Linked DNA regions of Danio rerio. The protein of the gene in region 1 binds, or shares a complex with, the protein of each later gene. Links are inferred from orthologs where the notes say so. Each region holds a gene or a part of one and is shown on either strand. Other genes may lie near its edges.

The links.
Region 2: odad3 (region 1) and clxn share a complex: the UniProt entries of both Homo sapiens proteins name them as parts of the outer dynein arm-docking complex. The link is inferred for Danio rerio from reciprocal best matches to the Homo sapiens genes ODAD3 and CLXN.

The regions. Positions count from the first base shown.
Region 1 is NC_133181.1:9,174,942-9,178,890, reverse strand, and holds the start of odad3 (coiled-coil domain-containing protein 151), read left to right. Parts: upstream 1-1,147; 5' UTR 1,148-1,881; intron 1,882-1,941; 5' UTR 1,942-2,074; coding exon 2,075-2,260; intron 2,261-2,465; coding exon 2,466-2,567; intron 2,568-3,411; coding exon 3,412-3,537; intron 3,538-3,645; coding exon 3,646-3,768; intron 3,769-3,949. UniProt on the Homo sapiens protein: Component of the outer dynein arm-docking complex (ODA-DC) that mediates outer dynein arms (ODA) binding onto the doublet microtubule. Involved in mediating assembly of both ODAs and their axonemal docking complex onto ciliary microtubules.
Region 2 is NC_133194.1:42,812,138-42,816,322, reverse strand, and holds the start of clxn (calaxin), read left to right. Parts: upstream 1-1,378; 5' UTR 1,379-1,413; coding exon 1,414-1,489; intron 1,490-1,623; coding exon 1,624-1,779; intron 1,780-4,057; coding exon 4,058-4,162; intron 4,163-4,185. Other genes in the region: grna.1 (granulin 1 precursor), read left to right, coding at 1-9. UniProt on the Homo sapiens protein: Component of the outer dynein arm-docking complex (ODA-DC) that mediates outer dynein arms (ODA) binding onto the doublet microtubule. Seems to regulate the assembly of both ODAs and their axonemal docking complex onto ciliary microtubules.

The DNA.
Region 1 (3,949 bases):
AAGTGACTGCCGACGAGAAAAAGAAAGCAAGCGCGAGTGGAGAAATTAAATTATTTATTCCATCAACTAACACGTTAACTAGAATAAACTAAAATAAACTTTGTCAAATATAATATTCTCCACGTAGACAAGGTCTTGCGCAACAGTCGGGCAATGATTTAATTCAAGTTTGTCTGAAACACTAACTTTAGGAGCCTGCTAAACATAGGCCCATTATAGCTGATTATGTTTATTATAAATTCTATATTATTCAGAGTATAAAAGCAACATGTTAGCATGCAACATTGTTACCGAATTGAGTTTTGAACATTCGAACGTGCGTTAACCTTTAACAACACACATGCCATAATACGAATTAAATATAACAAGGTGATATCTATTTAAGTTTGATTAATTGTGCAACCTTACCATTCAGATGTCTCAGAGGTTAAAGTTTATTGGTTTACACACCCAACAGATATCCACAAATAGGTCTTTGGTCAAGTTTTGAAAGCATTTATCTGATTTTCATAATGTGTCAACTGTGAATTTCAGAGCAGTCACGTCCGTAACGAAGACAAGTCACGTCCGTAACGATAGTTTTTCCTCATTAATGCAAAAATGAAAAACTAAATAAAATTAATTATATATGTCCCATGCAGAGCCAACCCTTATCCTTTTGACTGTTATATATTTTTTTGGCTTCTGCATTTTCATTCACAGAATTTTCACAAAGTATGTCAACTCACAAAACTCATGTCTTTTTTTTGTCACGTCCGTAACGCATTCATTTTGCCGTCATTTTAAATATAAAACACCTGCATAGACTGATATTTTTTGATGCCTGAACTCCATGGTTAAGGGGTAAGAAAAATATAAACATATATTTCAATATACTGTTAACATATACCTTCTCTGAGAATATACGTTTCATTTTTTTACTGCAAATGTCACGTCCATAACGCTGGAATCAGCCATATATATATATATATATATATATATATATATATATATATATATATATATATATATATATATATAATAGCACTGTCGTCTCACAGCAAGAAGGTTGCTTAATCAAGCCTTAGCTGGGCAGTTGGCATTTCTGTGTGGAGTTTGCATGTTCTCCCTGCATTCGCGTGGGTGTCCTCTGGGTGCTCCGGTTTCCCCCACAGTCCAAGGAAATGCAGAATTGGGTAGGCTAAATTGTCCGTAGTGTGAATGAGTGTGTGTGGATGTTTCCCAGAGATGGGTTACAGCTGGAAGTGCATCTGCTGTGTAAAACATATGCTGGATAAGTTGGCGGTTCATTCCGCTGTGGCGACCTAAGATTAATAAAGGCACTAAGCCGAAAAGAAAATAGATGAATGAATGAACATATATTAATTTAAGGTATATCGTAAACTAATATGCAAATGTTTATATGATTTATTTGAAATACAGGGTGTAAAGTAATATTTTTAGTTTTTTGGTAGATATATTTTATGAGAAACTTGTTTTGTTTACTAAAAAATAGTAGATCTAACTGGATTTACATTTTAAAGAAAAATGTTCTTTAAATGTAAAGAAAAATGTAAATATTTACATTCTTTAAATTAAAAATATATAATTTTTTATGTCGTTTTCAGTTACGACACTCCCAAAATCATTTAGATTTTTAAATAAATTGCCAAAAAAGGTTCACAGATTGTGTCAGACCCTGAACATCATCTTTTTGTAAAGTAGATTATATACCTGTAGGTTAACTCTGTATAAATATAGTCCACGATAGCCAAACTCTCAAAAAATTTTAATTGTAATCTAATAACACACCCCTTTTAAATCTGGAATGGTCAATATTGTATTAACTTGAATTGAATTAAAAGTGAAGTTAAACATTTTTCATGAAATAAGTATGTAAATGTAATACACAACTATGACAAATTTATATATAACATTGACTTGCGGATGCTTTTTTAACAGTATCTTTATTTCAGTTACTCATTATAAAATTAAACTTTTTTCTGTTTCAGTCATTTCTGGTTCTAACTAAGCAAACTGTTTGTGATTACTGAATCACATGGATTTAAATTGCAGTTGACAGACATTTTTTGTCATGCAGGCAGCTCGGACAGTGCTGGAGAAGCAGGTGCGTGATAAAATGAAGAAGTTGAATGCTATGAAACACGCCACTCAGAAACAGAGGCAGCGTTTAGAGGACCTGAAGCTGCAGTACCAGAGCATGAAGCCACACAACAAAAGCCCTCTGCCTGACACCCAGAAACAGGAGGACGAGGAAAAGGTAGAACTTTTTTTTTATGGGCATATCGGATAAACACTGGTGAATCAGAAGTGGGTCTCTGCCTTTTAGATTCTCATCTTAATCCTCCTAAATGTATCTTTGGCTCTTTTGTGTCATGATTTGACCTACGTGGACTGTTTAAACTCTATGCAAGCAAAATAAAGAAGAATGAACTTGTGTGTTTTTTTTTTTTTTTTTTGTAAAGAAATTGCGTATTCTTGAGAACCGTTTGGAGAAAACGCAGCTGAAATGCCATGAAGCGGAGCACATAATGCGAGGATACCTGAAACTGAAGGAACATCTGCAGGTATCACAGCAAATTCACATACACACAGTAAATCCAAAGAGCTGTGTATAATAAAACTGCACATTTTGACTGCCACATAATAGAATCTTGAAAACAATGGTTCAGTGTATATTAAACAGGGTTCATCGCTAGGGATTTTTTTCTACTGGCCCGATCGGGCAAGTGGTTCAGATTTTTACTTGCCCTGCCAACATTTTCTCTGGCCCCTCCAAAAAAAGAAGTTAGCCATTTAGTTATTCAGCATAACTTTTCTTTAAATACAACTGACAATTTAAAAATGATTTAATTTAAATACAATACTGATTAGATTAATTAAAGTGAATTGTTTAATGTGTGGTTTAGTTTAACTATTTAGTTGACAATTTTATGTTTTTTATTTGTTTAAAATCCACCAAAATTCCTAATTTTATAAGCCGGCTCATTACATCAGTCTATAATACTGTCAGTATTTTTATTATTCATTTATTTGTCAATCTTAATTTAAAATGCATTTCACTTCTTGTTCTTGCTTGATCCATCAACATAATAATCATATTAGCCGCACAAATCGCGCTTAATGGGCAAACAAGTTCTGAAACAAACGTTTGGGCATGAAAGCTCGCAATTGACAAACAATCGCAGCCAAATTAAACTTTAGTGACAAAGCAGCACTGGCCCCTATCGGGCCAGTAACCATTCTGTATACTGTCCCGAGCGTCTTGCACACTGGCCCCTTATTGTTGAGCCCTGTTAAACTATTAGGTAGTTTTCATCATTGATAATAATACCAAATCTGCATATTAGAATGATTGGATGGTAGTGTATGATATTGTAAATGAGCATCATTTATGATTTGTTTCTTCAGGAAGAGAGTCTTACATTTCAGCCACAGCTAGACAGGATGGAGACAGAGATTCACAGACAGACACAAGTGTTTAAAGACCTGCAGGTCATGAACAGTGACGCTCATCTGTCTAAGGATGCTGCCAAGGTAAAGACATGTTTAATGAATTATTAAAAAATGTAATGAGATAATGAAGTAAGCACATTTTTAAGTGTGGCAATGTAAATGCTTAGAGTAATGTTTGTGTGTCTCTAGGCTGAGCTGCAGCTTCAGGAGGAGCAGGTGTACAGAGAGCGCAAAGAGAGAGAGAAAATCCTCTCCCGCTACAAAAAGCAGACGGTGGAGAGAATGAATCAGGCAGAGAGAATGAAGAGAAGAGTAAGAATCATTCACAACACACCTGCTGCAATTAAAACTCAAAACACAACAGTGTTGGTTAAAATAGGCAATTAATTTAGTTAAAAGTAGATACACTACTAATCAAAGGTTTGGAATGTTTACATTTTTAAATGTCTGTTATTCTCAATATTTATTTAATTCAAAATATATATTAAAAATA
Region 2 (4,185 bases), on another chromosome or scaffold:
GAGTTGTAATCAAACAACCACTGTTACACTGGTTCACCTCTTACTGAAGACTGTCAAAATGCAAGAGGCTCCAAACTTCATTCATGTTTCAGGCTATATTCTTACATCCAGGCTGAATTAGTGTGAAATAAAAACTAATAGAATTACTGTCAAAATGCACCGTCATTTAATAAACATTATTAATTTGGGGGAAAAGAAATTGTGTTCTTATTCATTCATTCATAGTATTTTTATGAAGTAATCAGTGATTGTGAATGAATTTAATGCACTGTAAAGCCCAACAGTCCACTTTATCAAATGAATTGAGTGAAAGAAATGTACAATATAAATCAGGAAGTGATATTACAAAGTGATAAGAACAATAAGTAAAAAAAGAAAAAAGTAATATGAAGAAAAGAAAAGAAAGAACAAAATGAAGAAAAGGCAAGTACAAAATTAAATTAAGAAATTAGAAATTAGAAATACAGAAAGCATTAATTACTAACATCCTGGAAGCATGATATTTTCATAAGTTTCTATTGACTTGCAGATTTTTGTTGTTGTTAGATAGACGTATAGCTTTAAGCAAGAAATCAATTTCAATTAAATAATGGGCAAATGAGGGAGAGGATTTAAGAAATTTTTGTTTGTGGATAAAGAATTTAGCAAATAATATTAAAAAAAAGTTATAGAAATATTCTTCATTTTTATTCTTGGGGCTTAAATAACAACAAATGATATTTTTCAGTTTAAAGATTTGTTTTGTTGATTGGGATTTCTTCAAATAATTACATAGATCTGACCAAAACAGTGAGATTTTACATGTAAAATACATGCGAGTCAAAGTTTCCTGATTTTCCTGACAAAAGGAACAAGTATCTGCAATATCAGTAAATTCTAAGATAAATGCATTGACCGGGTATATTTTGTGTAAAGTTTTAAAATGGATTTAATTTGCTTTGTTTGGGATTACATATTTGAATGGGAGAAGCATGTTCTTTTCCAATCAATATCTTCATTAAAGCTGACCAATATGATTTCTTTCTTGGAGCAATATGATTTTTTTTGTTGGACAATTCGAAGAATAAGTTTGTTGTTACATTTCTTAGTATTTTCATTAATAAACACTTCCTCGCACTTTTCCACACACGTGGGTTTCAATGTGTAAACAACAGTTACCATCAATGTGTGTTTGACAGGATCATTTATATATCTTACCACATACTGTATCCGCTGGTATACGACTTTAAACGAAGAATTACCTTCATAAATTTGCAAAATGCGTCCCTGAAGGGAAACGCTCGACAAGTTAAAATGCGTTAAATCGATGTATCCTGGTTTGTGTATGCAGCGCTTGCTCGTCACAACATTGCCCCGCCCACATTACACGTTTCCACAGCAACATTCAACCAAAGACTAAAAAGAGAGTAAAACATGCTGAAAATGTCGGCGATGAACAGAAAATTAATTCAAAACCTCGCCGAGACTTTATGCAGACAAGTCAAACATTGTGAGTATCTACTTGCGTTTGAGATATCAGCTTTTAGTTCGTTAATAACCTGCAGCTTTATAAAGTTATAACTCTAATAACTATACTAAACAAGGTAGGTTATTTAACGTTACTAAGCTGTGGTCATACTGTAGTTAATAAAACAGAGACGGAGTGTCTGATAAGGCTGTTCAACAGTCTGCTGGGAGAGCAGGCAGAGAGAAAGACGACTATTGGAGTGGACCGGGCCAAATTCAGAAATATACTGCACCACACTTTCGGGATGACCGACGACATGATGACGGACAGAGGTAACGTTGCGTTTCTGAATGAGAACAACGACCAACAAAACAATCACAATTTGCAGTGCAGTATTTATTGCATATATACTTTCACCGGCCACTTTATTAGGTTCACCATGCAAGCATTATAATGGGGTTTAAACTTAAAGGGATAGTTCAGACCCAAAATGAATACTTCTTCTCCATCGTTTGCTCACACTCAAGTGGTTCTAAACTTTTATGAGTTTCTTTCTGTTTGGGTAAAGTTACCCTAGTTGTTAAAGTAATTACAACCTCAAGCCTATCTAAATGTGGTTATAAGTGGTTTAAGATTGTAATATATTTCACTTAAAAAACAGGGGCAAACTTAAGTCATATGGGGGGCTCTAAGCAAAGGTATGGGGCCCCATTGAAACAAAACATTCTCTTTCTTTATAGATATTTTTCCTCTATAGATTTATTTATTATTAGTATTATTATTTTGGTAAATAAACAGCATGTTTAAACTAAATATAATCTAAATATAAATATATCTTGGACCTGTTACCAAAGATGCAACAGCAAAAACACACAGCACTGTCTATCATTTTTCAAGCTCTATAGTAGTAATCTTTTCACCATTATCTAAATAATAGCTGTTTGTGAATCAGTGGAAATTTTCTTTTGTTTGAAGACACTTCTTAACAAGCTAACGAACATTCCATTATTGATGGGGCCCCCATATTAGAAAAGAAGCAATAATGTTAAAATCTTAATGGTTATACACAGAAAAAAATGATAAAATAGCTATATGATTAATATAAGGTTCTTGGCATTGGTCGGACCCCCTAATTCCCTGAGGCCCTAAGCAGCTACTTGCCTTGCATATTTGTTAAGTCCACCCCTGCTTGAAAGTAACTTAACCCAACAATGGCCATTGACATTCAGAGTAGGAACAAAAGTACTATGGAGTCAGTGGCCGTTTTTTTTCCACTATATATACCAGGGGTGGCCAACCCTGTTCCTGGAGAGCCACCATCCTGCACATTTCAGTTGCAACCCATATCAAACACACCTACCTGTAATTATCACGTGGTGTTCAGGTCCTAATTAATTGGTTCAGGTATGTTTGATATGGGTAGCAACTGAAATCTGCAGGAAGGTGGCTCTCCAGGAACACGGTTGGCCACCCCTGATATATACCATTGTTTTCAATGAAATTTAAACAAGTGGAAATCGAGTAAATGATTGCTGAACTTACGTTTTTTTAAGGTGATGTATCTATTTTACCATCTCTGGCTTCAAAATTGCTTTAATTCTTCATGGCACAGATTTGAGTAGGTGCGGAAAATATTCCATGTTTTAGTCCATTTTAATAAAAGAACCTGCAGCTTTCATATCCTTGATGCAAATCTCCCATTCCAGTGCTGTATTGAACTGAGATCTGGTGACTGTGGAGCCATTTAAGTGACCATGTTCAAGAAACCGGGCGAAGTAGGCAGTGCTGTCGCCTCACAGCAAGAAGGTCGCTGGGTCACTGGTTCGATCCTCAGCTCAGTTGACGTTTCTGTGTGGAGTTTGCATGTTCTCCCTGCATTTGTGTGGTTTTCCTCTGGGTGCTCCTGTTTCCCCCACAGTCCAAAGACATGCGGTACAGGTGAATTGGGTAGGCTAAATTGTCCTAAGTGCATGAGTGTTTATGTGTGTGGATGTTTCCCAGAGATGGGTTGCGTCTGGAAGGGCATCCGCTGTGTAAAAACGTGCTGGATAAGTTGTCGGTTCATTCCGCTGTGGCGACCCCGGATTAATAAAGGGACTAAGCCGACAAGAAAACGAATGAATGAATGTTCAAGAAACCACTTTGTGTTTTGTAACCTGTATACATACATCTAAGTTTAGTAAGGGGTGACGCAGTGGCGCGGTAGGTAGTGCTGTTGCCTCACAGCAACAAGGTCGCTGGTTCGAGCCTTGACTGGGTCAGTTGCTGTTTCTGTGTGGAGTTTGCAGGTTTTTCCATTGCACTGATTTCCATTGTAGTTGTTTTTATAACTATGATGTCAATTGCAATTGGTTTCCAACATTTTTCAAAATATTTTCTTTTGGGTTCAACAGAAAAATAAAATCATATAGGTCTGGAAATACTTAAGAGTGAGTAAATTAAGTTTGGGTGAACTATTAGCCTTTAATGCATTAAGATACATCTTGCTGATTATTAGTTATTTACATTAAAAAAAATCACACCTAATAAAGTGGCCAATGAGTAAATACATATATGTTTCAGAGTCAAGAAGATATCACTCACTATACTTTTAATCTCTTGTGCACTCAGTTTGTCGTGTCATTGACAAGGACAACGATGGCTACTTAAGCGTTAAAGAGTGGGTTGAGGCTCTGTCTGTCTTTCTAAGAGGCACACTGGATGAAAAAATGAAATGTGAGCTCTTTACATTATAATCT